Linked DNA regions of Mus musculus. The protein of the gene in region 6 purifies or fractionates together with the protein of the main gene of each other region. This does not show direct contact. Links are inferred from orthologs where the notes say so. Each region holds a gene or a part of one and is shown on either strand. Other genes may lie near its edges. The genes, in order: Vangl2, Csnk1d, Vangl1, Itch, Peli2, Dvl2 and Dact1.

Evidence for each region.
Region 1: the proteins of Dvl2 (region 6) and Vangl2 purify together in Homo sapiens (affinity purification with mass spectrometry; 4 studies listed by BioGRID and IntAct, with this or other methods). This does not show direct contact. The link is inferred for Mus musculus from reciprocal best matches to the Homo sapiens genes DVL2 and VANGL2.
Region 2: the proteins of Dvl2 (region 6) and Csnk1d purify together in Homo sapiens (affinity purification with mass spectrometry; 3 studies listed by BioGRID and IntAct, with this or other methods). This does not show direct contact. The link is inferred for Mus musculus from reciprocal best matches to the Homo sapiens genes DVL2 and CSNK1D.
Region 3: the proteins of Dvl2 (region 6) and Vangl1 purify together in Homo sapiens (affinity purification with mass spectrometry; 4 studies listed by BioGRID and IntAct, with this or other methods). This does not show direct contact. The link is inferred for Mus musculus from reciprocal best matches to the Homo sapiens genes DVL2 and VANGL1.
Region 4: the proteins of Dvl2 (region 6) and Itch purify together in Homo sapiens (affinity purification with western blotting; 4 studies listed by BioGRID and IntAct, with this or other methods). This does not show direct contact. The link is inferred for Mus musculus from reciprocal best matches to the Homo sapiens genes DVL2 and ITCH.
Region 5: the proteins of Dvl2 (region 6) and Peli2 purify together in Homo sapiens (affinity purification with western blotting; 3 studies listed by BioGRID, with this or other methods). This does not show direct contact. The link is inferred for Mus musculus from reciprocal best matches to the Homo sapiens genes DVL2 and PELI2.
Region 7: the proteins of Dvl2 (region 6) and Dact1 purify together in Homo sapiens (affinity purification with western blotting; 3 studies listed by BioGRID and IntAct, with this or other methods). This does not show direct contact. The link is inferred for Mus musculus from reciprocal best matches to the Homo sapiens genes DVL2 and DACT1.

Annotation. Positions count from the first base shown.
Region 1 is NC_000067.6:172,003,296-172,006,795, forward strand, and holds part of Vangl2 (vang-like protein 2), read right to left. Parts: intron 3,027-3,500; coding exon 2,795-3,026; intron 1,568-2,794; coding exon 1,307-1,567; 3' UTR 1-1,306. UniProt on the Homo sapiens protein: Involved in the control of early morphogenesis and patterning of both axial midline structures and the development of neural plate. Plays a role in the regulation of planar cell polarity, particularly in the orientation of stereociliary bundles in the cochlea.
Region 2 is NC_000077.6:120,988,534-120,992,652, forward strand, and holds the start of Csnk1d (casein kinase I isoform delta), read right to left. Parts: upstream 2,801-4,119; 5' UTR 2,478-2,800; coding exon 2,402-2,477; intron 1-2,401. UniProt on the Homo sapiens protein: Essential serine/threonine-protein kinase that regulates diverse cellular growth and survival processes including Wnt signaling, DNA repair and circadian rhythms. It can phosphorylate a large number of proteins.
Region 3 is NC_000069.6:102,163,194-102,166,693, reverse strand, and holds part of Vangl1 (vang-like protein 1), read left to right. Parts: intron 1-882; coding exon of another isoform or gene 883-921; intron 922-1,206; coding exon 1,207-1,339; intron 1,340-3,160; coding exon 3,161-3,395; intron 3,396-3,500.
Region 4 is NC_000068.7:155,223,918-155,227,355, forward strand, and holds the end of Itch (E3 ubiquitin-protein ligase Itchy), read left to right. Parts: intron 1-449; coding exon 450-549; 3' UTR 550-2,938; downstream 2,939-3,438. UniProt on the Homo sapiens protein: Acts as an Acts as an E3 ubiquitin-protein ligase which accepts ubiquitin from an E2 ubiquitin-conjugating enzyme in the form of a thioester and then directly transfers the ubiquitin to targeted substrates.
Region 5 is NC_000080.6:48,119,585-48,123,668, reverse strand, and holds the start of Peli2 (E3 ubiquitin-protein ligase pellino homolog 2), read right to left. Parts: upstream 2,801-4,084; 5' UTR 2,513-2,800; coding exon 2,436-2,512; intron 2,268-2,435; exon of another isoform or gene 1,792-2,267; intron 1,763-1,791; exon of another isoform or gene 1,511-1,762; intron 1-1,510. UniProt on the Homo sapiens protein: E3 ubiquitin ligase catalyzing the covalent attachment of ubiquitin moieties onto substrate proteins. Involved in the TLR and IL-1 signaling pathways via interaction with the complex containing IRAK kinases and TRAF6.
Region 6 is NC_000077.6:70,003,592-70,007,091, reverse strand, and holds part of Dvl2 (segment polarity protein dishevelled homolog DVL-2), read right to left. Parts: intron 2,288-3,500; coding exon 2,218-2,287; intron 1,938-2,217; coding exon 1,792-1,937; intron 1,656-1,791; coding exon 1,546-1,655; intron 1,431-1,545; coding exon 1,295-1,430; intron 1,155-1,294; coding exon 1,064-1,154; intron 957-1,063; coding exon 887-956; intron 802-886; coding exon 662-801; intron 579-661; coding exon 502-578; intron 1-501.
Region 7 is NC_000078.6:71,316,384-71,319,883, reverse strand, and holds part of Dact1 (dapper homolog 1), read right to left. Parts: intron 2,825-3,500; coding exon of another isoform or gene 2,714-2,824; coding exon 990-2,713; 3' UTR 1-989.

The DNA.
Region 1 (3,500 bases), on a different chromosome or scaffold from region 6:
GAGAAGGAGTTCCTGGCCCCTCCCCATAAGAGACGAGGCCACAGGTCTCGGAGCCCGAATTCAGCAGGACTGTGGTAGCTGGCGCAAAACACAAAATGTCTTCGACCCCAAGGTTGGTCAGGGTCTGCATGTCATGGAGTCCTTAAGAAGTCAACATGTATCCTTCATGGGGAAGGGTGGGGAAGAACAGGTCAGTGGGTTCAGAGGGACAAGTGAGGTCAGTGACAAGGGTCTCTCCAACCTCAGGGGTCTATCCTGCCCTTCCTCTCGGGAGTTGTCTAAGAAAGACACATTACACCTTCCCCACAGCCCTGGTAAAGTGGTCAGAGAGGTTCCACCTCTGTTTGCCTATGATCACATGACCATACAAGTCAGAAACAGCAGTAAAGACTCCTGAGTAGAAGACTGCACTTCCCCTTCTTCTATGTTTCTGTGTGTGTGTGTGTGTGTGTGTGTGTATGTGTGTGTGTGTATCTGTGAGGTGCTGTGTGTCCGTGTGTGTGTCCGTGTCCGTGTGTGTGTGTGTGTGTCCGTGTCCGTGTCCGTGTCCGTGTGTGTGTCCGTGTGTGTGTGTGTGTGTGTGTGTGTGAGTGTGTGTATCTGTGAGGTGCTGTGTGTGTGTGTCCGTGTCCGTGTGTGTCCGTGTGTGTGTGTGTGTGTGTGTGTGTGTACCAGGAAGCACAGCTGTAACACTGGCGAGCAAGACTGCAGAGAGAATCCTAATTCTGGGATTATGTCACAGGTGCATCCTTGCCCAGGGACTCAGGGCTAAGCGTAGGGACCGAGGATAGGATTAGCTGTTGTCCCACAGGAGTTTGGCACCATGGTCCTCTAGGGTCAGAGCTGTGCCCCCAAGAGAAACTCTATCAGGGGCCACTAGAGAGCGCGGCTCTAAGAATGTACATTTCTAAGTTGGAGCTCAGGAGGCAAGGGTAGAATCCGGAAGGCCCTGAATGCTTCCATCCAGGGAAGGTTTGCGGGGGAAGAATGGGGTGGGGGGATGGGAGAGTTGTGAGGCACTGTTTCCTGCAGGGCCTGGAGTGATACAAAATTGGAGGGCAGGGTGGTTCCCAGGTATTGTTAACAAGATTTATCTCCAGATTTCCAGATGGGAAAAACTGAGGAAGAGGGGAGACTGGGTACAGGATAAGTTAATTCAAGTAAAAAAAAAAACAAAAAACAAAAAACAAAAACAAACAAGAGCAAGAGGAAGTAGGACTGGCAGAAATGTGTCAGGGCCAGAGAACCAAGCCCCTCCCACTCCGCAGGAACCCCCCACATCCCTCCTCCGCGGCTGCTGCAAAAGTCACACAGAGGTCTCCGACTGCAGCCGCATGACGAACTTATGTGACTTGGGATCCACAAATTCCTCAGAGAGTTTGAAGAAGGGCACCTTCTTGGTGCTCACTACCAAGCTGAAGTCCTGGCGCTTCAAGAGGAACACGATGCCATCCTTAAGCCCATTGGTCACCGGCTCCTCGCTCACCAAGGTCCACTGTTTGGCCAGCCAACGTTCCTTGTGGTACTGGATGGTGGGTCCAGCAGCCAAATATCGCTCCAGGAAGGCCTGAGGAAGGGAGAAGATACTGTTGGGGCATCTCGTGCACCCACCCACCCTTCATCCTCTGTGACACAGCTTTCTAAGATAGCTAGGGTGTTTCTAAGCTCATTCTATACCCATGAACTGGTATCTTCAAATGTGAGTGCAGAAGACAGCCAGAGACTCCTAATATATTGATGGGGACAATGACATGCACAGAAGTGATACAGCTCCAGTCAGGACTGGAATTCACCCCTATCCTTCACCCTGTTCCTTGCACCAGGCTGTGGCTAGAGCTACTTGAACCTCATTCTTCCTTCTTCCTTCCCTTTCATACAGTTGATATGACTAGAACCATGTAGGCCTACACTAAGAGGGAAGTGGGCCAAGAAAAGCTTCAAGTGCAACACTCTGTGTGTGTGTGTGTGTGTGTGTGTGTGTGTGTGTGTGTGTGTGTACATCCATGTGCACACACACTGTTTTGCTGGTAAATGAAATCAAGAATTCAGGCCTGATCTACCACTGAGCTACATTCCCAGTCTCTTTATCACCCACTCAACAAGGAAGGCTCCGAGAGCGCCATTATAGGAAGCTGGCAACGAGGTTGAGGTAAGCCAATCGATAAAAGTCAGCAGAGGCAAAATCTTCCTTTGGGGATGAAGGGGTCAGCAAGGTAAAGGTGTAAGACTTGGAAGGTAGAAATTCTAGGGCCTTATAAAAATGAGAAAGAGGCCTCTGAAATCCCCCGAATAGTTCCAAAGTCTCCCCATGCCTCTTCCACTCTGCACAGACAAGACAGATGGAATGGGGACAGGAAAGGAAATTCTCAAGAAGAGGTAAAGATAGGGCTGGCGAGATGGCTCAGCGGTTGAGAGCACTGACTGCTCTTCCGAAGGTCCAGAGTTCAATTCCCAGCAACCACGCAGTGGCTCACAACCATCTGTAATGAGATCTGACACCCTCTTCTGGTGCGTCAGAAGACAGCTGCAGTGTACTTATTTATAATTCTTTGGGCCAGGGGGAGCAGGGACAGAGTGAGCAAGCAAGGATGGAGCAAGCAGACGTCCTACAAAATCCAATTCCCAACAACCACACGAAGGCTCACAAACACCTGAACAGCTACAGTGAACTCATATACATAAAGCAAATAAATCTTTAAAAAAAAATGAGGCAAAGAATGGGAAGGAGAAACAGCCGTGACCAACAGAGACAAGAAGCTGGACAGAGAGGAAGGGCTGGAAGCAGCAGGCCTACCTTGGGCGTCATGTCGTGGGTAATGCAGAACTCCAGGTGCTGAAGGATGCTCTCCATGGTATGGTAAGGCTGCTGTTTGGTGGTGCGAAGGTACTTCTGCATGGCACGAGCCATGGATGCAAAGATCGCTTGGGCTGCTTCCCGGGGGTCCATCACCTCCCTGGGGTTCTTCTGCTCCTCTTCCTGCAGCCGCTTAATGTGCGTGAAGGCCTCCTCCACAGCCACCACGAGCCTGGGGGACAGGTAGTCTCTGGAGCAGGTGCTCACTGCTCATCCTACCCTCTACCCACTGGCTCTGACTGCTGCAGCCAGAGTCAGGTCAGGCCTCTGTACTCTGCCCGAAGTAACGGAAGTCCGTGAGGAGCCAAGCGCTAAGAGACACAGGGGGCTCTTTCCTCATAAGCAGCAAGACACAGTCGTACTCAGCGGTACCAGACTAGGGACTTAAAGTGAACGAGCCTAGCATCAAATCCAGAATGACACTCAGGCACTGAGCTGCAGAGAAGGCCACGTATCCCAGCAGACCTAGGAAAAGACTCCGCACCACACGATGTAAAACTTTAATCCCAGCACTCGGGAGGCAGAGGCAGGAGGATTTCTGAGTTCGAGGCCAGCCTGGTCTACAAAGTGAGTTCCAGGACAGCCAGGGCTATACAGAGAAACCCTGTCTCAAAAAAACCAAAAAAAAAAAAAATTTTAATACATA
Region 2 (4,119 bases), about 51 Mb from region 6:
TCTCCAAACCGTCCTGCAGACCTGCTTTCCTAGCCTATCTTATTCTGAGTCACTCATTTCACATTCAGTTCCCCAAAGGGGTATCTTGAAAGGACAGTAGGGCTGAGAGCTAAGCAGAGAAAGACTGGCAGTGCTTAATCCCCTGACAAAAGGCACACTGTAGGCCTAGCATGTTGGCACTCAGAAGGCAGATCTCTGAGTTCAAGGCCAGCCAGGGCTACATAGTGAGACCATGTCTTAAACAAAACAACAACAACAAAACTCACACCATGACAGACAGATAAGCCAGTGATTCTAACCCTAGGATCCAGTGCCCATCTTGGAGCACAACAGAGGAGTCACCAAATTAAACCTTTCTGGAAAAGGTTAGTTCATGTGATCAAACGCTGTGCCCAGCCTGTGTCTAAGCCAGCCCCCAACCACCCACTTGTGGAAGACCCTGAGCAGGATATGCATCTGCGGGTTCAAAACAGTCTTTCAGCCTTTGTCTTGTCCCTCATATCCTGCCCCATGCTCTGGATGGAGGTGGGGAACCAGGTGGGGCAGTAGAGATGTGACTAAGTAAACTGCAACCCCAGACACAGCTTGCACTCTCCTGGAGAAAGGTTCCCATCTCTGAATGACACATGACTACCATAGCACAACTGGTTGTTATAATCAATCTTCAGAAAGCACAAAACCTTTTGGCAAGATCTCAGGGAACAAAAAGTTTCAAAATACCTATTTTCTGATGCCCATGAAAGGGTGGCTAATGGATTGGTTTTCAGTCTAGCTCCTATATCCTGAGGTTAAACTTCTGCCAAAATCTATTGTTCTATAAATACGCCAAACAGCTCCAATTTACCCAGCACTTTGACTCCCAAACATTGCCGAGAAGGCATCTGGCTCTCTACTTGGTTATAAATATTTAAATAAGCAAATCCTAAGTATCTCTAAAGCATATTTTACTCATCAGACCACTCTGGCAAGAAGTTCGGATTCAAAGGCACTCATGTGGCACATAGCAGGCTTACCCTGTATGCTAACCAGGCACCATAAATACTTCTGAACTACCCAAATGGGCCAGCTGTTCACCCCACACCACCAGCTATCAAGGTCCTGTGAGGAGTCAGAGTGCAAGTTCATAAGCTTGGGAAGACTAGAAGGCCGGCCCAAAGCACAGCTTCTTCCTGACTCTCCACTAGAGGTACAACAGCCAAACAAATGCAGGGATGGGCTACTGCTCAACAGAATATGGTTACCTCTAACAGGAAGTTCACCACCAGAAGGCTCCAAGTTCTCAAGGGGCTTTGGAATAACATAATTCTACTAAGAAATGCAGGGGGAAGTTTGTATTTAAAAATCCCCAACTATCAGGTTTAAGCAACCCTAAGCAACCCTCATGTCTACCTTGAGAATTCTGAGAGCCATCATGAGAACTTCCTTCCACACCACTTCTCTCCCCTCTGTTCTGCCTACATCTCGACATTGAATGCATCTGCATTCATCAAAACTTCATTCCTGTTGATTTCCGGGTGTCCAGTAGTCAACTTAGATGCTCAACATATCCTCAAGACCCCAACCAAACCAAGGCCTTTCAGGCCAGGCACAGGGAACATTTTCAGTCCTGATTTGGAGGAGAGTGGCAGCCAGGAGGCTATGGGTGATCCCTTTAGCGGGTCAGCTAAGTGGAGATGCCATTGTGGAAAAGAGCAGGCCCAGACTGCTCCAAGAACCCTCAGAAATCAGCCGGTCGTTTCCCCCATTTCTGACCGGGACACTCCCCACCTCCACACTACATCTGGCTTATTTTGACATTTCTCCCCCACACATGAAAACATCCAGGACGCCACTGCAGAGCTGAGGAACAGCACCAGACCCTTGGCGGAGCAGAGCATGGCCTTTGTTTACTGCGGTGACCTTAGGTGGGGGAGGATGCTGACGCCCGGCCCAGGCCCTGCCCCCTCCGGGCCCCACCCCCAGCCTGCTGCCCTCCCCTGCCCCGCTCTCCCCTCCCCCTCCCCGCTGTCCCCCCCCGGCCCCCGCCCCCAGTCCTTTTCCCACGCCCTCTGACACCCCACCACCGAGGCCCGCTGGCCCCCGCCTCTAGGCCTCCTTCTTCCTCTCCCGGGTCCCCGACCATCCCCAGACACGCTCCGAGCTCTGCCCCCCGGCCTGCAGTCCCCAAGACCGGCCTGTCCTTCCAGCCCTTCCCCGCACCCCACCCCGACCCGCCGCGCCGCGCCCAGCCCCCCGGCCGCGCTCGCACAGCGGCCGTTGGTGTCTGGCCGAGGCCGGTGCCCGGGCCCTCGGCTGCGGGGATGCCGAACGTCCACTCCGGCCCTCCGCAGGCCTCGGCCTGCCGGGGACCCCGCCCGCCGATCCGCAAGGCCCCCGGGCGCTCGATGGCGCCGGGCCTCACCGAGATAGATGTCTCCGAAGGAGCCGCTGCCGATCTTGCGGCCCAGTCGGTACCTGTTCCCGACCCTCAGCTCCATGGCAGCGGTGCGGCTCGCTACTGCCCGCCCGGCCGCTTCCTGGGTCTGCGCTCCGGGAGGCGGCGCCGCTGCTGCCGCTACTGCGGGTCCGGTCCGACTCCGCCCCCCTCACGGCCCCGCTTTCACCATCGCTTTCCGGTCGCCCCGTCGCTCTCAGCGCCTCAATACGGGGCGGATGGGACAGTCCGAGCGCCGCCGCCGCTGCTCCGGCCCTTGCCGGCCCCGCTCGCCCTCTCCCCGCCGCGGATGGACTCGGATCTTCCGGGCCTAAATCCCCCTTCAGCTGCCTAAAGGAGCCGCCGCCATCGCGCTGTGACGTCACTTCCCCTAGCAACCCAAGGGGGCGGGGCCACCGTGCTCGGGGGCGGGGCTTGGCTACTTGATGGATTGCGCAGTCGCAACCAGGCCTGTTTCTCTGTCCCAGTGTCCACCGTTCCCGCAGGATGACTCCAGCTGGTCTCTTTGGTCTTCCCATTTGTCTCCAATAGAAGTCCGAGGAAGCTAAGCCATGTGTGGTAAGAAATGCCTGTAGTTCCAGCCCTTGGGAGTTCGAGACCAGCCTGGGCTATAGCGACCCTGCCCCTAAACAGGCAGAGAGAAGCCGAATAGCAGTTCCTTTTGTAGACCCCGGGAAAGGCCCTTTACAGATAGGGGAAAAGGGCAGAGAGGGCGGTCCAGGCCTAGCTCTGAGATCACAGGTAGACAGTTAGCTTTTGTAGGAATCACCAGTTGTGGGCTTTGAATGGTGCAAAACGTGCCTGCTGCTGCCTGCCAGCTTCTTGCACACAAGGGTGGAAGAAAAGAGGTCTTCCTGGGACCCACTGTGGGCAGGAAGGTCAGTGTTGAGTTCACTGAGGGTGTAGAGGGTATGTCTCAGACTCTGATCGCTCTCCAGGGCTGTCTGCCTGGAGAGAGAGTCAACATTTTTATCTGGTCTGCATTGGATCTGCATGTTCCCCTGGCAAACACAAACATGAATTCTGAAGTTCAGGCTGACGGCCAGCTTCCAAGACTTGGCTGTCCATTCTGACCACTGAGGAGGGACTCTGGAGGAGCTACCACACAGGAGGTGCCCCCTAACCAGGAGGGGACAACCTTCCAAATAGATGCTTTTCTAGGCCCACTCTCACCCAGCCAGAAACACGAGAGTCACAGATGAGTGTAATGCTTCTATTTGGTCAGCTAGCACCCGTAGCATCTGCACAGGGTATCACGCTGCATGACAACTCAGCAGCCCTGCAGAAGCACGTGGAGCTGACATGTCTTCTAGTCTCCCAGCTCCACCACCCTTCCTTTTGGTGGTCCTGCAGTGCCTGCCTGCACACAGTTGGCAGTCAGGTTGGGGAGCATTACACAGCCGGAGACAGAAGACACCACAAGGCAAACTGAAACCAGTGGTCACTGAGCGGCAGGTATGGGAACTGCCTAGCTTTTTAGTCCAGGAGTCAGAGCCAGATGCGGCCAAACTAGTAAAAATAATCTTACTGACAGAATTCAAGTATAATTTTTTTTCTGTTGATGAACAATACCTAACTTCATCTGAGAAGCCCCTATATTGAACTGAAAACAGCAAACCTGGTATCTGGCCTAACCTCTCTCTTACCAACCTCGGGCCTGATCTTTGCCTAGCGGTCTTCCCTCT
Region 3 (3,500 bases), on a different chromosome or scaffold from region 6:
TAAATGTAGACAAACATTTTTTTCCGGGGGAATGTCAGTTACAGTCTATATATGTGTATATATATATCAAGTTCATCCACTTGGAGATTTTGGTATTGGAAACTGTAGCTGTGTTTCCTGCCTCCTGCTGGGAACACTTTAGATTGAAAGTCCTCGGAAAGGAATGTTTTTCAAAGTCTGAGCTGTTTACCAAAAGACTGCGATGCTCTCAGGGCTTTCGGCCTAGAATACTCCACCCTGGCCTAGAAACGTATTCAGCCTAGAGAGTCAGCTATCTGGGAGCTCCTCTCTAGTCTCTCAGTCCTGGCCAGGAATGGCAACCAGAAGCTGGAGGCAGACTCACCAAGTCAGAGGCCAGTTTCATTCAGGGTGTCAGATGCTTAAGTGTGAGAAACAGGACTCCCTCTTACGTCTTGCTGGGCACCTGGGCTAAGACAAGAGCTTTGCAGACTCCCAGAGAGATTCATGTTGTCAGTAAGACATCTGGTTTACATAGGTATCAGTTTTTGGTATTAGTGTTCAAATATTTTTTTTTTTTTTAAATTTGGCTATGTGAGGGGTATGACTGGTAAGCCTCACCCTTGATTGGGAAACTTAGTTCTCTAAGGCACCCAGAAGAAAGCATTAGGTCCTGGCTGTGTCTTTGTGATAAGCTAAGTTGGGTCATGCTCAGGGTGATACGGGACTTGTAGGTCGATTCACAGATGGGGCGGGGCGTATTGCGGTTGCTGGGCTTTGGTGTTGGGGGAGATAGCACTCGGCTTAGCTTGTGTTCCTGTGTGTGGTCACTGTCAGTGTCCCTTGACTTCTCTTTTCTCTGTCTGTCCTTGTTCTCCCATCCTGCCCACTCTCTCTCATTGTCCGCTGTATGCGATGTCCCAGCTGCCCTTATGGCCAAACTGAAACTTTGTGTAGCAGATGGTAAGTGACCTCTTCGGCACGCTCCGGCGGGTGTTGTTCTTGGCCGGCGTTTTCAGGGGTGAGCAGTTGGCAGCCCCTTCAGAGTTCTTTTTCCATTTCCCCATCACACTGGGGTTAGATCTCCTGGCTGCCATGAGCGTGGAGTACTGCGCAGGCCCAGCCAGGGGTGCTCCGTAGGGGCGTGGGTGGGCGCTAACTAGCAGACCACAGACCCTGGTGCTGCTTCTCGGTCCCATTTCCTGGCGTTTACCGTTAAAGCTATCTACCTTTCTCCTTTCATCAAAGGGCCTAGTAATAACGCCACTGGTCAGTCCCGAGCCATGATTGCTGCAGCAGCTCGGCGCAGAGACTCCAGCCACAACGAGTTGTATTATGAAGAGGCCGAACACGAACGCAGGGTGAAGAAGCGGAGAGCAAGGTCTGTGACCCTTGCACGCCTGGGCCCTCCTCCCGCTGAACATTTTATTCTTACTTAAAAAAAAAAATTTTTTTTAACTTCCAGAATTAATTTTCTGTTTGTACGCATGCCCTGGATGACTGTTTTCAGACCACGTTACTCTCACGTTTCTCAGACTTTGTGTGTAATCACCACCAGACATACCTCTAAACACCCATCACAGGTCCTGGGCCCACTTACAAGGCTTACCACGTGGTCTGTGGGCCTAAGCCTGGGCCTGGGAATCTGCATTCAGAGCAGATTTCCAGGGGGCATCTGTGGCTGCCCTTGGAGGGGGCAAGACCCACCCACACCATTTCCCATGTGAATGGAAGGTGACAAAGGTGGCTTCCCTTAAGCCTGTCACCTCATTCTTCCCCTTCCTGAGTTGCTGGGGGGCTGGGGGGAGGGGTAAGTGGAACAAGGGGACTAAAGCTCTGCTTGCTTGCTTTTCTTTTCTTTTTCTTTCCTTTTCTTCTCTTTTCTTGTCTTTTCTCTTCTTTCTTTCTTTTTTTGTAGCCTAACCAGGCCTTAAACTCTCTGTATAGCTGAGGATGATATTGAACTTCTTTTTTAAAACCTTTTTAAACATCTATGTGTGTGTGTGTGTGTGTATGTACATGTGTACATGTGTGTACATGTATGTGTGCATGTACATGTATGTGTGCCTGTACATATGCCACAGTGAATATATGGAGAGCATGGCTTTTGGGGATTGGTTCTTTGTCTTCTCTCACACGAGTTCTGGGGGGTCAAATTCGGGTTGTGAGGCTTGGCTGCAAGCACCTTTGCCCTGAGCCATCTTGTCAGCTTGGCTTCTCGTGTGGCCTCCACCTGCTGAGTGCTGGATCAGGAGCGTGTGCCACCACATGAGGTGCTGGGGATTTGTCCCAGGTCTCTGTGGTACTGGGCAAGCCCTCTGCCAACTAAAGCTACCCAAGCTCTGGCTCTTTAGCAGCTGTGTCTGCACGCTCGCTTTCGCTTTCCCGATGGAGTGTGAACAGAAGTCTTTATTTCGCTTTTTAAAAAATTGGATATTTTATTTATTTACATTTCAAATGCTATCCCCTTTCCTGATTCCCCCAACTCAGAAGCCCCCTATCCCTTCCCCCTCCTCCTACTTCTATGAGGGTGTGCCCCCACCCACCCACCCACTCCCACCTCCCTGCCCTTGCATTCCTTTACACTGGGGCATTGAGCTTTCATAGGACCAAGGGCCTCTCCTCCCATTGATGCATAACAAGGCCATCCTCTGCTACATACACAGCTGAAGCCACGGGTCCCTCCATGTGTACTCCTTGGTTGGTGGTTTAGTCCCTGGGAGCTCTGGAGGGGGAGGGGGATCTGGCTGGTTGATATTATTGTTCTTGCTATGTGGTTGCAAACCTCTTCAGTTCCTTCAGTCCTTTCTCTAACTCCTCCATTGGGGACCCTGTGATCATCAGTTCAATGCTTGGCTGCAAGCATCTGCTTCTGTATATGTCAGGCTCGGGCAGAGCTTCTCAGGAGACACCTTTTATTGAAGAAATCAAAGCACAGGTTAAAGTGAGCTTTCTGAGCTCATTATTGGCAGAACTGGGAGGCCCAGCGATACCACCCACCCACTCCCATCTCATTTCTGCTGTTGCTTCTCTTCTCCCAGGCTCTTTCCATCTCCTAGAGGGATACAGTATGACAGAGCCTTGGGGAAGTTGGTGGTAGGCCAGGGTGCTTCAGTCAATAAAGGCCCTCTGCATCTTATGGGACTGTCCCCAGACCCTGCAGTGGGCGCTGCCTTGCTGACTGTCCCGAATCTCCTTCCAGACTGGTAGTGGCTGTGGAGGAAGCCTTCATCCATATCCAGCGTCTCCAGGCTGAGGAGCAGCAGAAGTCTCCCGGAGAGGTGATGGACCCCAGAGAGGCAGCCCAGGCCATCTTCCCCTCCATGGCCAGGGCACTGCAGAAGTACCTGCGCACCACACGGCAGCAGCACTACCACAGCATGGAGAGTATCCTGCAGCACCTGGCCTTCTGCATCACCAACAGCATGACCCCCAAGGTGCGCTGCTAGGTCGGGGCTGGGGCAGAAATGTCCCTGGGTTTGGCCGGTCACATGACATCCCATGTCTCCACTGTTGCTCACCACGTTATTTAAGACTTACTT
Region 4 (3,438 bases), on a different chromosome or scaffold from region 6:
GTTGTCCATCTGCCTCTGTCTCTTGAGTGCTGGGATTAAAGGCTTGCATCACCACAGCTGGACTATCATTTCTTATTCTAACATGATATACCTAAAACCGCCTTCAAAATCTGAAGTGTTTCATGTATGGCCATTTACAGTAAGATTGCTGACCACTGGTCTACAGTGGGTAGTTGGGACATCATGAGAAGACTGGCATTTCCTGAGGGTCTGCTAAGCACCTGCATGGTGCTGTGTGCTTGTTTCTAAGTCTACTACAGGGGTGGGTATTGCTCTCCCAGTTGACCAGAGAAGACACTGGCATGAATCTTGGAAAGGTAAAAGGCAGTTGCTTGAAGGCTGCGTGATTCAAGGGCACATCATCAGACCTCTGAGGTGCAGCTGTGGGGCACTGCCTGTGTGCATCTTTGTATCTTTCCTTTTCTCAAGCCAACAATTCTTTCTTTCAGTTTTAACCGCCTGGACCTCCCACCTTACAAGAGCTATGAGCAACTGAAGGAAAAGCTGTTATTTGCCATTGAAGAAACTGAAGGATTTGGACAAGAGTAATTGTTTAGACCTTAAGCCACCAGAGGCCAGGGACTTGTCTGCAGTGTCTGTCCCCTTCCTTCTCTGCCTGTTGCACATCTTATTGTAAACTTGGACTGTGACTAGAGAGTTACCTGAGAGTAAGTAAATTAATGTTATCGTTGAGATCTTCCAGTCATTCTGGATTTCTACTCAACGTTTCCAGAAAGCAGATCTACAAACTGTAGTCAGAAACTTAACATGAGATTTAACACAGCGAGGAAATTTCCCTCGTCTTATTCCACTAGATTGTTCCCTTAACAACAGTTTGCTGTATGTCCGAAGTCTCACTTGGGCATAGGTCTCTTAGTGGGTATTGTAAAGGATTCTGCAGGGACATCTCGGAAACGCAATACACAAGGTCTTCCTGTAAAGCCTCGCTCAGAGGTGCAAGCTTAACTCAGTGTCTGGGCACATGAGCAGCTGCTGCTTGTGCTCTCCGCTCGTCCCAGCCTGGCCTGACTGTTGTTTTTCATTCCTGGAGCATGAATCAGTGCACCATTCTGATGCTATTCCTGGAAGTGATGCAGGACTTGCATTTTTCTACAAAGTAGTTTTGTCTATTTGAATTCAGGGAAAACTTGGTCCCCGCCAACATATGACCATACCTCTCTTCATTCAGTTTGTAATTGTTCTATTGCCTTGCAAATACTAAACTTTACAAACAGTATCAGCACTGTGGTTCCTTCACGTTTTTAGAAATTAACCTAGAATTAAAATAAGTTCAGATGAATTCATCTAAGATCATTCTTGATTTTTTTAAATCCTACACATAAATTGAAGCTTTATGGTGTTGAAGTAATCCAACACCTTAGTTACATTTCATTTTTGCTAAACTATTCAAGTTGCAACCATTTCCTAACACAAATGGAGGTCAGTGGTGCAGACTCTGCAGTCACAACAGCGTCCAGCAGCCACACAGCTGCGCTGTCTTCACACTCCACTCCTGACACAGGAGCAGCCGTGTCTACCCTCTTACATGGTCCTGATCTACAATATTTTTCTCTCCCCTAAAAATTGTAGATTTCCCTTTTCTTTCCATGACTCCTTTATCTTAGGCTGCTCCTTTAGTAACTGATGAATGCACTTTGACCTTCTCTGTAGGTCATTTACCTTGGCTTAGCATTAGACTGTGAGGATGGTTGCTGCCCAGACTTTATGGGCAGCAAGATGAAACCTCAGCCAGGTGAGTCCCTATTGTAGCCAAATCCCAAAATTAGCCTTATTTCTCTAATGGGGACCTTGAAATGTGTTGGTGGCATAGCATAAAGCCAAGAACACCAAGTGTGACAAACCCCTGTCCCATAGGAAAGAAAGTGTTTCTGTGTCCCTAGCTGCTCATCCTGTTCTCATCCTGGGACAGTTTGAACTCGTGCAGCTGTGCTCCTTAACACTGCCATCCTCAGCAGAGACGTGACAGACGGGTTGCCTCATGAAGAAGTGATCAGTGAAGGGAGAGCTCGGCTCCTCCCCAGCCCTCTTTTTACCCTTATACCACAAGAAATACATGTCATCTCTAGAAGCCCTAGTTCTTTCCAAAGTAGGAAATCTCTGCCTTTTTGTTGGTAGGGTTAAAAAAAAATGTATATGCTAATTGCTTTGTCTTACAGAGCGAATGTCTGCCAACTATCCATTCACTACATAGGCCTGAACTTTGGTAATAAATGGCTATAAATATTAAGCCTTCTACAAAGACTTCCTATTGAATCCAATTCTTGTACTAAAACATAGTTATCTACCATATTCACTAGAGATTTATGAGATTAAATTAAGAGATAATGTAAGAAAATAGACTTTGTTGATTCTGCATAATGCTTCATGATTCATTTAGGGACCTAGAAATATTATGTGAAAATGTATAAATATCATCCAAAAGGCTTTCTGCCCTATATTTTTAAAATACAGAAGTTATATTTGAAGTAGTCCTGGCCCTAGTTCTATAGGGCTTGGCTATTTAATATTTTTATGGAAGAAACGTTTAGTTCTGGAAAAGGTAAATGCTTGTATATATTTTTGCAGCCCTGGAGTCTCCCAACTCCATTTCTTCCTTTAATTTAATTGATCACATGTATATGTCTTCCCTGCTGTGTTAGAAAAACGGGGGCTGGATATCCCAGGAGTCAGAGCGTATATAAGACAATGCACCTAAACAGCAGGCACATTGACCAGATGCTCTCAAATTTTGGTCCAAAATGAGTATTTGGGAATAGATTTATTGTGAATGTTTAATTAGCGATTTTCCTTAAATCTGGATGGACTAAGTTGCTTTTAAGACCTTTTTCTCTGTAAGCATCGTAAATGCTAATCAACCTGTTAAGTTTTTTTTTTTCTTACTGCATGTTACATTGAAATAAAAACAGAGTAAAATGAGCATTTGCCTTTTCGTCTGCTCTTTTGGTGGGTTCCACAAGGGTCCAGATGGAAGAGCTCGGGGCTCTCGTCCAATGGAGTGATAGAGCTGACAGTTGTGAACTCCTTCGCCTTCTACCATCTTCATGTGCAGAATTCAGTTTCCTAAGACTTAGAGTAACTGTTAAAATTGGGGTGCAGCCAGGCGTGGTGGCGCACGCCTTTAATCCCAGCACTCGGGAGGCAGAGGCAGGTGGATTTCTGAGTTCGAGGCCAGCCTGGTCTACAAAGTGAGTTCCAGGACAGCCAGGACTATACAGAGAAACCCTTGTCTTGGGAGGAAAAAATTGGGGTGCTGACTCCTCACCCAGGGGTTGGCTTATCTGCCCACAGAGCTCTCACCCAGCCCTCTCTGCCACGTTTTACTTATCTGGTTAAATTACTTGACATGTTATCAGGGTAATATTTTTGCCTGTTTGGGATCTAAATTTCTTTAAGATTCACTAATTCTTTGCAGTACTG
Region 5 (4,084 bases), on a different chromosome or scaffold from region 6:
GGGACTATGACACGGTAACTGGTTAGAATTAACAAATAATTTAAACTCCACTAACTGGACAGAAAGTGACAACCCCACTACAATCCCACATGGCATTCTCTCCTACTATGCAACCTATGACAAGAATCACCCGTACTTAGATCATCGAGGCCTGAATCAACTTTACAGTTTGCTATCCAAACTTCCTATGTGACATTTTACCATGTGATTCAGAACACAGAAGAAAGGACAATCACCCAGCAGTTAAAATAAAGTCACTGTACTTTCCAATGAAACAAAATAAATATTTTAACAATATCAGAGGCAGTGAGCAGCTTTAGCCTCAAGAATAATTTCATCAAGAAAATTTCCTAGACAGTCTATGCTCACCAATATTGATGTCCCAAAGGACCAGGCATGCACAGTAATGGCACTTTTTTTTTTTTCATTGAAATGCACTTGCTATTTTAAAGGGGACAACATGCTCTCAAGTCCAGTGGGCAGAACTGTGTAAGACTTAGTGAAAATCTAACTAGTTCACTACTTTCCAGGTACTCTTTAGTGTGCTCAATGTTGCAAGAGTCAGAAATCTGAAAGAAAGAAGGGGAGGGGGCAGCAGCCACAATTCAGGCGTACACAAAACCATCTGCTACTCCCATTTTTCTTCCTTAAAGGTCTTCCTTAAGCTGGCAAGAAGCAACATCTCCCCCCCAGCCCCCCACCACGGCAGGGCTCCACTGTTAACCAACTTCAGTTGAAGAAGTGACAACACCAAACATCATTTGCTACTTACTTACTCGGGTTTCTACTTATGTCTTGTTCTACATTAAAATGGAAGTGTTCTGTGGCTACTGGATGATACCCAATGTCCAAACAGTGTTGCCATGTGGTAGCACAGGTAACTGCCCTGCCTGCCTCCAGCTACTAGGTTAGAAACACTAAGCCATCATGGATCCAGGAAAAGCTTTAGTGAAGGATGAAGCAGGTGCTACAGGCAACGGTGTTTACAGAGACACTAAATTACAACTGTCCAGGGTGTAAATTCTTTTCCTGGCTTTGGAGTGTCCTAAACTTTTAGCTATGAACACAAACCTCTCCGGGTTTATTCCACACTGCTCCGAAACGTCTCAACAGATTGCCTCAAAAGGAAATAATGAAATGGCTCTGGCGTAAGTTAATCTTCTTTGTCAAATTCACAGTGTTAAGCATACTCTGAAGCCAGCCACATAAACAAAACCAAACTCCACAAAATTAGGCTGAGCTGAAGTTACATAAGACAGACTAAACTGTGGCTTCCCCCCACCCACCTCCCCACCCCTCCTCTTCCCAGCGAACTCTGACATCTGTCTCTTAAGTGCATGCAATTCCCATGCAGGTGCGGAAGGCGCTCATCTGCTGAGCTTCCAAATAAGCAGTGATCTTTCCAGTACTACCTTCCCCCCCCCACACACACACACAGAAAGGCTTGCAACAAACTGAAGGCTAGGAAACTTTAGATGAGTCTTTAAAAAAAAATTAAGTCGGCACTTACTTCAAGGTAGTAATCAAAACACGTTTCTCAAAGTTCCCAGAGCCTCTGCTTAGGGGTGAGGAGGGGGGCTTCCTCGCGTGCCTCTAAGCCCACCCATCAACACCCGCGTGGGTCTGAATACAGATCTTTCAACAGAGGACAAAAGCGCGGGTTCCCTGGAGCGGCACATCCAAAGGGAAACCAATCCTTTCCCTGCAGCACTACCCAAGTTGCTCCAGCTCCAAGAGTTTCCTGCACTTTCCACCTCCCCCCACCCACACCCTTTTCATTGCCCACTTTACCCTGCTTTAATCCTGCGAAGCCTCCCTCCTGGTTTATTAAGGGTAAACAATAGAAAATGTCACACGGAAACTCAGGAAGTAGATGAAGTCTCTAATTGCTGCCGTTTTAACGATTGTAGATAATTACTATCTTCAAAATGTGATTTTCACCAGCGGAGTGGGAGCCGAGGAGGGCAGGGTGGCGAGCTCCCCGCCGCTGGCAGGGCATCGGCAAGGCCGGGGCCCGAGGGGTGCAGGAGCCCGAGGGGTAAGGAGATCAAGGGGTGCGGAGACTCGAGAATGGAAACCCGGGAGATCCGGGAACCGTTGTTGAGAGGACCCGGGAAAACCAGGACCCGGTCCAGGCCCTCGGCCGAGCTCACTCCCGGCGCAAAAAGCGGAGGCCAACCAGCGGCCCGGGTCACAGACTGGAACAATGCGTAACCCCCGCGGACTGGGCTCTGGGCTCGGAGACAGGGCTCCGCGTTCGCGGTCGTCGGGAAAGAGAAGTCCCCAGTAGCCACTGGCTCCGGGCTTCACCGAGCGACCCCGCGTGGTGCAGGAGCGCCCTCCGGGCCGCGGCAACGAGCACCCCGGGGACCCGGGCCCTCAGGAGCGCATCCCTCTCCCTCCGCGACGCCCCGCCGCCCGCGTCCCCAACTCACCCCAGGACCACCAGCTCCCCGTATTTCACCGGCTCCTTGTTGGGGGCGCTGGGTTCCTCCTGGCCCGGGGAAAACATGGAGCCGCGCTCGGCCGCCGCCGCTGCCGCCTCCGCCGCGATCCCCGCCGAGTCCGCGCCGCCACTACACTCCCATCCCGAAAACGGGGTGAGCGCGCCGGGGAACGGCACGGCGGCGAACGGGGCGCTGGGCGGCCAGTCCCGCGGCTGCTCCGTCGTGGCTGTGCGCGTCGCCCGCCGGCTTCCCCGGAGCTATCCGTACGTTGGCCGCTACGAGCGGGACCCGGCACGGAAAGCGAGCGGCGACCAGAGCCCCGCGGGAGGAGGAGCGCGCGCCGCCGGGGGGCTGAGCGGGCTGGGCAGGTGGGACGGCCGCGCCGCCGCCCGCGTCTCCGCGCTCCCGCGGCCCCCGCCCGCCCGCCCGCCAGCCCCCGCGGCCCGCGAGCGCCCCGTGTTATGTAAACATAGAGTAAAGGGGAAGGCAAGCCCTTAAAGGGGCAGCTCTGTTTTTCTCCTCTCTTCCTCCGAAAAGTTGGAGCGTGGGGGTCTTCGTCCTCAGCCCGGGGATCCGGACCCCGCTTGCGTGAAAGCCAAGCATACTGCCCACCCCCCACCTCCGAGCTCACCATGCTGAGCGCACTGATCTGGGGGTGTCTGCTTTCAAAGCCAAGCCCTTGAGAGGGGGGCTTAAAAAGAGAAAGAATCTGCCCATGGGGGGGGCGCTAATTGAAGGGCTCCCCACCATTTCATGTATCAAGAGAAAGGAGAAAGAACGTGGGGGGGGGGTGAGAAAAGAGAGAGAGAGATGGAGGGAGGAGAGGGAAAGGGGAAAAAGAAAAGTTAAAAGTTACTTTTAATCCCTTATTCACATCTCTGTCCCTTCTTTCAACCCCCTGGGGAATTTAAAAGGAAATTACCTAGGTGGATTTTTTTTTTTTAAATGAAGACAAATGTTCCTTTATTTCCATGGATTAATCAAGGCACTGTTTGTATTTTATGCTTTCTTATGGTGCTGTGTCTTTAAAATATTGTAGGCTGTGATAGTTTTACTGACTGCTGTTTTTCATCATAGAGGAATTTATTATTCTAGCATTTATTAAGCCCTTGCAACATGCTAGAGACGCTACATATTATTGCCTGTCACTGCCTTTCCAGACTGTTAAATATTTAAAGAAATAAATACTGCAAAAGCTACCCAATGTATAAACATCGAGAGTGTGTGTGTGTGTGTGCCCGCGCGCGCGCGCGCGCGCACACACACACACACACACACACACACACACACACACATACACACACGTTTAGGCTATGACTCTAAGTAAGGAGTTAAAAAAGAAATAATTGCATGAGTAACCTTCCATTCTACTGCTCAGCGCCGTGCATGTATCGCTCTCTGACAGGCTATTACTGTAGTGACATGATGCTTTCTGTAATTTTACTTCAGTTAGTAACTGGCTTTTCTTCTTTTAATTGAGGCTTTGGAGATAAATTACTCCAGAATAACAAAAGCCACACTATTGATGAGCCAAAAATAAACTTTATTAGACGATTACCTTATTTCCGCTAATTACAGAAAGTCTATTCTTAGACTAAAGACAACTAGCTATCCGGCTTATTGTACAAATCCTCTGT
Region 6 (3,500 bases):
CACAGTGGGTGGCCTCTTCTCAGGTGCTCACCCACATCTGCTTCATGCTCTAGTGTGGAGTGACATGCCAGGGAGATTTGCAATTTGTGGGTTTTGTTCTCTTTTGAAAGACGTATTTGTTTTTTTTTATGTACGTGAGTACACTGTCAGTCTCTTCAGACACACCAGAAGAGGGCATCAGATCTCATTACAAATGGTTGTGAGCCACCATGTGGCTGCTGGGAATTGAACTCAGGATCTCTGGAAGAGCAAACAGTGTTCTTAACTGCTGAGCCATCTCTACAGCCCTTGTTTTGTTTGGTTTTTGTTTTCTCGCTATGTAGACCCGGATGGACTGAAACTCACTCTGCAGACCAGGCTGCCTCACACTCAGCCCAACTGTGCCTCAAATAACATGTTTAAAGGCATGCACCACCATGCCTGGCCTCACGTCTTTATAAAAATTGCAAAACAAAGGTAAACAGGCTTAAGCCCAAGAGGCCTGGGGCCAGCCGCACTCACCCTGGCTTGTGCACGATGTCTCTCAGCACTCGTACAGCATCGTCGTTGCTCATGTTCTCAAAGTTCATATCATTTACCTGAAGGGAAGGGGTGGTGGGTCATGGGCAGTGTGGGAGGGGCAGAGCATCCGCCCCAGCCAGCAGCCAGGCCGTCAGCGCACCTGCAAAAGCATGTCTCCAGGCTCGATCCGCCCGTCCGCAGCCACCGCGCCCCCTTTCATGATGGAGCCGATGTAGATGCCCCCATCACCACGCTCGTTACTTTGGCCCACAATGGAGATGCCCAGGAAGTTGTACTTCTCTGTGGAGGGGGGCCATATGACTGAGCCCCAGAAACCCCAAGCCCCTCTCTCTCCTTCCCTTCTCCCCGTCAGGACCCTCCATACCCATGTTGAGCGTGACCGTGATGATGTTGAGAGACATTGTGGAATCGGTGACACTGCTGAAGGATGAGGTCTACAGCGGGGAGACATGAAAGGTGTGAACTGCTCCCCGTCAACAGAGAGAGAAGCCACAAGCTTGTGTTTCAACCAGAGCCCACTTCATCCCAAAAGAACCCTCACCCTCTCCATGCGTGGCGGCCGCTGCTTCCTTCGCCTTCGGTGGCGCTTGAGGAGGCGGGAGGCACTGCTCTGCTCAGTGGAGCTGCTGAACCTGATAGCAATTGAGAAGCATAGCATTTGGAGGTGGAAGTGGTCAGGGAGCCACATGAAACAAGAAGACTGGCTGGGGGGGAGGGGGAGGGGAGGAGGGGGGAGGAGGGAGGGAACAGGGAGGGAAGTGTGCAGCCATACCTACTCATGGTGTCATCCTCATCCGAGTCTCCTAGGCTGGTACTCTCCAGCTCACTGGTCATGAGGGTGGAAGAGCTCTCGTAGCCAGCCAGGTGGCGCTCCAGCCTCGAGGGGCCACCAGGCCTGTGGCCACCAGCTGTGTATAAACAAGAGACTCAGGAGCCAGGCCTCCCCTTCTTCATACCCAGCATGCTAAGGCTTGCCTGTCTGCCCAGCTCAGTCTACCCTGCCTCCAGGGTCCATCCCCTCACCGCCATGTTCACTGCTGTCTCTCCTCCTAGGTCGGTCTCGCCTCAGTGATACGACAGATTCGGTCTCTGTCTCAGGCTCTAGATTTTCATGGCTGCTGGATACATTAGGGCTACACAGGTAGAGAGAGTTTCCAACCAAAGTCAGTCGGACAGAGCACCGGAACCTCAGTCCCCCTCTCTCAAGAGGTCTAGACTGAATTCCCTCTTCGCTCCCATCCCCTGGACTCAAGAATATAAAGGACTCACTGGAAGGATGGAGGCCTTGAGTCCCCAATTCCACTGGTCCTTTCTGGTGGCAAAGGGGGTAAGGGTGGAGGCGGAGGAACCAGTTCTGTCCGAGACTCATGGGCTGGGGGAGCCACCTCAGGCTGTGGGGTATCTGACGACACAAGCTAGAAGAGAGCACGTAAGAAAACATGGTTCTGCTGGGGAGCGGTGTACGAGAAGAAACTAAGGAAAAGGACCAGAAAAGAAGGACACAGGGTCCTGGAGACCTGGGTGAAGAGGCCAGAAAAAACAATCCAGTACGGGAGGCTATAGGAAGAGGAGGCCGAGGAGTGCTCACTGTATCCACATTAGAGAAGAGGGAAGCCAGGCCACCCGCGACTGAGCAGGGGGGAGGCTGCAGAGACAGACTGAGGTTGGAAGCAGCTCAGTAATGAGTCCCCTTACCCAGGAGACAACCCTTCCATTGAAGCAAGGTAGGCGGGCATTGTCATCGGAGATCTCTTCCTTCACCACCCTGCGGAGAGAGCAGAGTGATTAGTAAGGTGCCAGGTGTGATGGGGTACACCTTCAACTAACACTTGGGAGGCCGAGGCAAGAGGCACTCAGTGAGCAAGGGTTTCTCTTGCGCGCACACACACACACACCACACACACACACACACCCTAGATGGGCGGTGGTGGTGCATGCCTTTAATGCCAGCACTCTGGAAAGCAGAGGCAGGTGATCTGAGTTTGAGGCCAGCCTAGTTTACAGAGAGAACCAGGACAGCCAGGGCTCCACAGAGAAACCCCATCTGGGGGTGGGGGTGGGACAAACACGGGGATGGGGGAGATTAGTAAAGCTAAACTAGTCACTCCCATTCCAAATCTCATTCCAAGTCTCTCCCCATCTCCATCCTGCCCAAGCATGGTGACTTGCTGCCCTGACTGACACGTCGTCTGCTTTTCCCCTAATGTATATGTACATGTCTGTGTGCATGGCTGTCACATGAGGGTATTTGCAGAGGACAGGAGAATATTATCTCCCCTGGAGCTAGTTACAGGGAGTCAGGAGCCACCAGTGGGTGCTAGTGCTAAGAACAGAACACAGCGGCATCCTCTAAGCCAACTGTCTATAGACTTCTGCCCTTTTTTTTTTCAGCAGCGGTAGCGACGACCAGGCTGGCTTCAAACTCACAGAGAGCTGCCTAACTCTGCCTCTCCATCCTGGTATTAAAGGCATATGTCACCAAACTTGGCTATGCCACTCAGCCAGCATGCATCACCATGCCCAGCTCCTCTGCTTTCACAGTGAAGTAACTTGCTTTTATACACAAATAAATAAATAAAAATTCTAGACTCTCTCATTTACCACTACCCCAACTCATCCTTAGAGGCACAATGCCACTCCAAAGACTTCTTCCCATTTGATCCAAACCTCAAAGTACCACTCCAAAGTCCCTTTGGGACAGTTCCCACAACTGCTCCAAATATCTAATTTAAGAGCCTGGCTGGCCGCCTAACCATCTCTGTCCTACACATCTGTCCCATAAAAGCCTCTGGTCCTCACGGAACCTGCTGCCTTTGAGTTCTCTCTAATTCACAAGCAGAGCCACCCAAATGTGTGGCTTTTCTGGGTAAAAAATCACCCTTACATGCAACAATAACAGTCCACGTGTGGAACGCTCCCATGGAGCGAGGAAGCTGGGCTTCCCAATTCCGGGCCACCTCACCTCACTAAGCAATCTG
Region 7 (3,500 bases), on a different chromosome or scaffold from region 6:
CAGTATTTTAAAAACTCTATTTTACACAATACTGTTTACCAAAAGCTTTTTTAAAAAATGTAATGCCCTTCCAGATAAGTCAGCGGTCCGGTGAGGGTTGAACTGCACTACTGTTCAGGCCAGTGCTTGGTGAGAGCAATTCTGGGCTTGGAGTCAAGCCCAGTAAGGGTGAATTTCTTTGCACCAAAGGACCAACACTTTATCCCAAAGACAAGCCCTCTAAGGGACAAACAGTTGTATTGGCTACAAATTAGGAGCAGAGAGATAGAAAGGCATCAAAAACTGCTGGATATATGGCCCATGAAAGGGCTACTGTAACGAAGGCGGAGGCACTACAGGTGGCAAAGGTTTTTGTGAATCCTTTTAAGGTCCTATCAGTCTCCCTATCCAGTTTACCACCTCCAGATTAAAAGTCTGGTCTACTAAGTTCTAAATCCAGTAAAAAGTGTACTTCTAAGAAGAAAATAGGATGGAGAGACATCTGAGAGTGTTGTCTATAGTAAAAAATTTACAGAAAGCAATGACTGTTTTGTTTGTTTGTTTGTTTTTTCTACCTACTCTACACAATTGTATGCAATGCCCCTCAACCGGAAAGCCCTTTCAGGGACAAAGCCCTAAAGGATCAAGGAGCGAGTTCACGGCTTAAAAATTTTATCCACGAACCTTGGAAACAAAAGGTCTCATCCAAATAAAACTTGAACATCACACACCTGTACTTGGCCAGACACTCGGACGAAACATCTGATAATCAAAATGCATTCACTATCACCACCACTAAGACCTCAATATTCACTTCTAACTAGAGATACATCCTTCACCTTCCATTAAAGGCACTAGCGTCCATACATGACCGCGAGACATAATTTATCTTGGGTTTATCCTAGTGAAAGGAAAGTATTCCATTTAAGTATGACACAAATATTAAGACAACACCTTTTTCTTTTTCTCAGAGACTAGGGGGAGGAGAAGACACTCGCTACATCAGCTACTCAAACGGTAGTCATCAGTTTCAAAGAGCCAGAGCGGAAACGGAGGATCTTCTTCTTGAGGTTGTGCGAAGCCTTGATTTTGACAAAGGTTTTTGTGGGACGGGTGTGGAGGTCTGGGGCCGTGACCGTTTGAATCGGGAGAGTCTGGACAAACTGGGACCAGATTAAACCCCCGCTCTCCTCTGAGTCGCTGGTGGTGGTGCTCTCGCCCACGAAGTCGCCTTCGCTCACGCTGGACTCGCTGTCGCCGAAGCAGTTGGTGGTGTAGTTGCTCTGCTCGTCCTCGCTGGTGTCCACCACCGTGGAGTGGAAGAGCGACTCGCACTCCGCCGAGTACTCGGAGTCGCTGGGCACGTAGGCATAGGGGCTGGCGTAAGGCAGGGCGACAGCCACCCGGTAGGCAGCCCCGTGCTCCCTGCGAGCCCTCCGGGCCCTCCGCAGGGCTTCTTCGTAGGAGACCTCGGCTGACGATTTCCACCGCCGGTAGTCGGTTCGCTTGTGCTTCGGTTTGGCCACCACGGGCTCCCGGCCATGCGCGTGCGCCCTGCTACCCGCCCGATGGCCGCCGGTGCCCAGGGCCCTACCGGGAAGGCCAGCGTCCTGCAGCCCGCCACTGCGCCGGCCCTTGGCGGAGGTCTTCCTGAATTTCTTATTTGTATCCGAGTCGTCTGGGAAACGGCACTTCTTGCCTGCTGCCCGCGGTTTCTCCCTGACGGTGGGCAGGCCGTGTTCCATGGCTGCCTGGCCGCGGGCCTTCAAGGTGGCGCTCCTTGCGACACCCGGGTTCCTGTGTGCACGGTGAGGCCTGGCGGCCGCCTGCTGCCCCGGAATGAACTGAGCTTTCACCAGATGCCCTTCCTCGAGGCTTTGAGATGAGCCCTCGCTTTTGAAGTCCAAGGCCGGCCTGTCCAGCGCGGGCACAGCCTGGAGGCTGTTCTTCTGCGACATCTTTTTCGGGAGCTGCAGGGCTTTGCTCTCTGCGGGGGCGACAGGGCCTCTGCCAGGACTTGTTTTAGGAGAAACAGCGGAGGCCTGATTGCTTTCCTTCATGGATTCCCCCAGCCCGGCTTGACACCTTGTGAGCTCTTGAGAGGCTGCCTTGGCGGCTTTGGGCACATGCTTGCTTTGGGGTTCCATGGCGGCGCCTGCCGAGCAGCTCTCCGGCAGAGCCAACCTCTTGCTTTCTAACTGGTCTGTCTTTGAGTCTTTGGACCTCTGCTTAGGAGGGGAGAATGGCCCGTTTTCCAAAGAGGTTATTCCCCCAGCGGGCAAACACATCTGTTTTGTATTCTTAAAGTTCACACTACTGCCCGGTGGGACGCCACTAGGGGCCCTGACACACACACTTCCATTCCTCAGAAGGCCCTTGGTAGGGTCAGCGTTCACACTGGTTCTAGGTTTATTGGTCCTTACAGGGTGTGTTTTCTTCTGCACGAGGCTCAAAATATACCCATCCATTTTCTTACTGGATGCAGGATGGGAAGCGGACCACAAACTGCTTGGAGATGGCAGGGAATTGTCTGTTTTGGTGGCGTTCAGTTCAGATCCAATGCAGATGTCGCTGGCATGGCTCCCAAGCCCCTCCTCTTCCCTCAGAGTGTTGCCCGTCAGACAAAGGAGAAACATTGGGCTCTGCACAGCCACAGCATGAAGTGGACTGGGGTAGCGATATACGTCATTCCCGTTTTTAGACACAAGATCACACTGGTATTTAGGATTCACATCTGCAATGACATCAAGGGAATTAAATTGTGGTGTGGAGGGGGAACTGCACACTGTCCCTGAGGCCTGGTCTTCACAGGGGCCGCCTTTACATTCCAACCATCCTATGAGATCTGAAAAACATGTAAAGATACACTGAAGAAATGAATCGGTAGAGCCACTTCGACTCTGGCCAGAGTTTACTAAGGTGAACTGGATGGAGACAGAATAGCAAAGGATCGAGAACTAGTCCACACTGGTTCCTCTGCAAGCTTACATGAAGCACATGGATGACTGAATGACAGCAAGCACTATTCAAGAATTTTGACCAAAAAAAAAAAAAAAATAGCCATTCATAATGCTCTGAAACTACTGAATAATGTAAGGGAACACTTCATGAAGCTTAGTGAAAATCATGATATCAATCAGGATAAAATTTTATGCAAACAAACTCTTGACATTAAGCACATCAAAATCCTAACGGTACCCTTCCAGTGTGATAAGTGATCTGTTTCCAATAACTGCACCTTAGAACTTTTTGTTTTCTTTTTCTGGTCTACTCTCCTTCCTCTGGTTTCTCTTTAAAATATTTAAGACACTTGCTGTGGCCATTTTTGTATTTTTTTAAAAACAAACAAAAAAAAATACAAAATGTAATCTATTTAAACATAACTATCCTTTGTGGGAAAAAAATCAACAAAACATATCAAGGCTTTTTTAAAGGAGTGCTCTTATTTTTAACTTTGCTTATGTGTTAGTGCACCTGAGTGCCGTGCCCACAGAGGTGAGAAGAGGACTAGATTCTCTGGA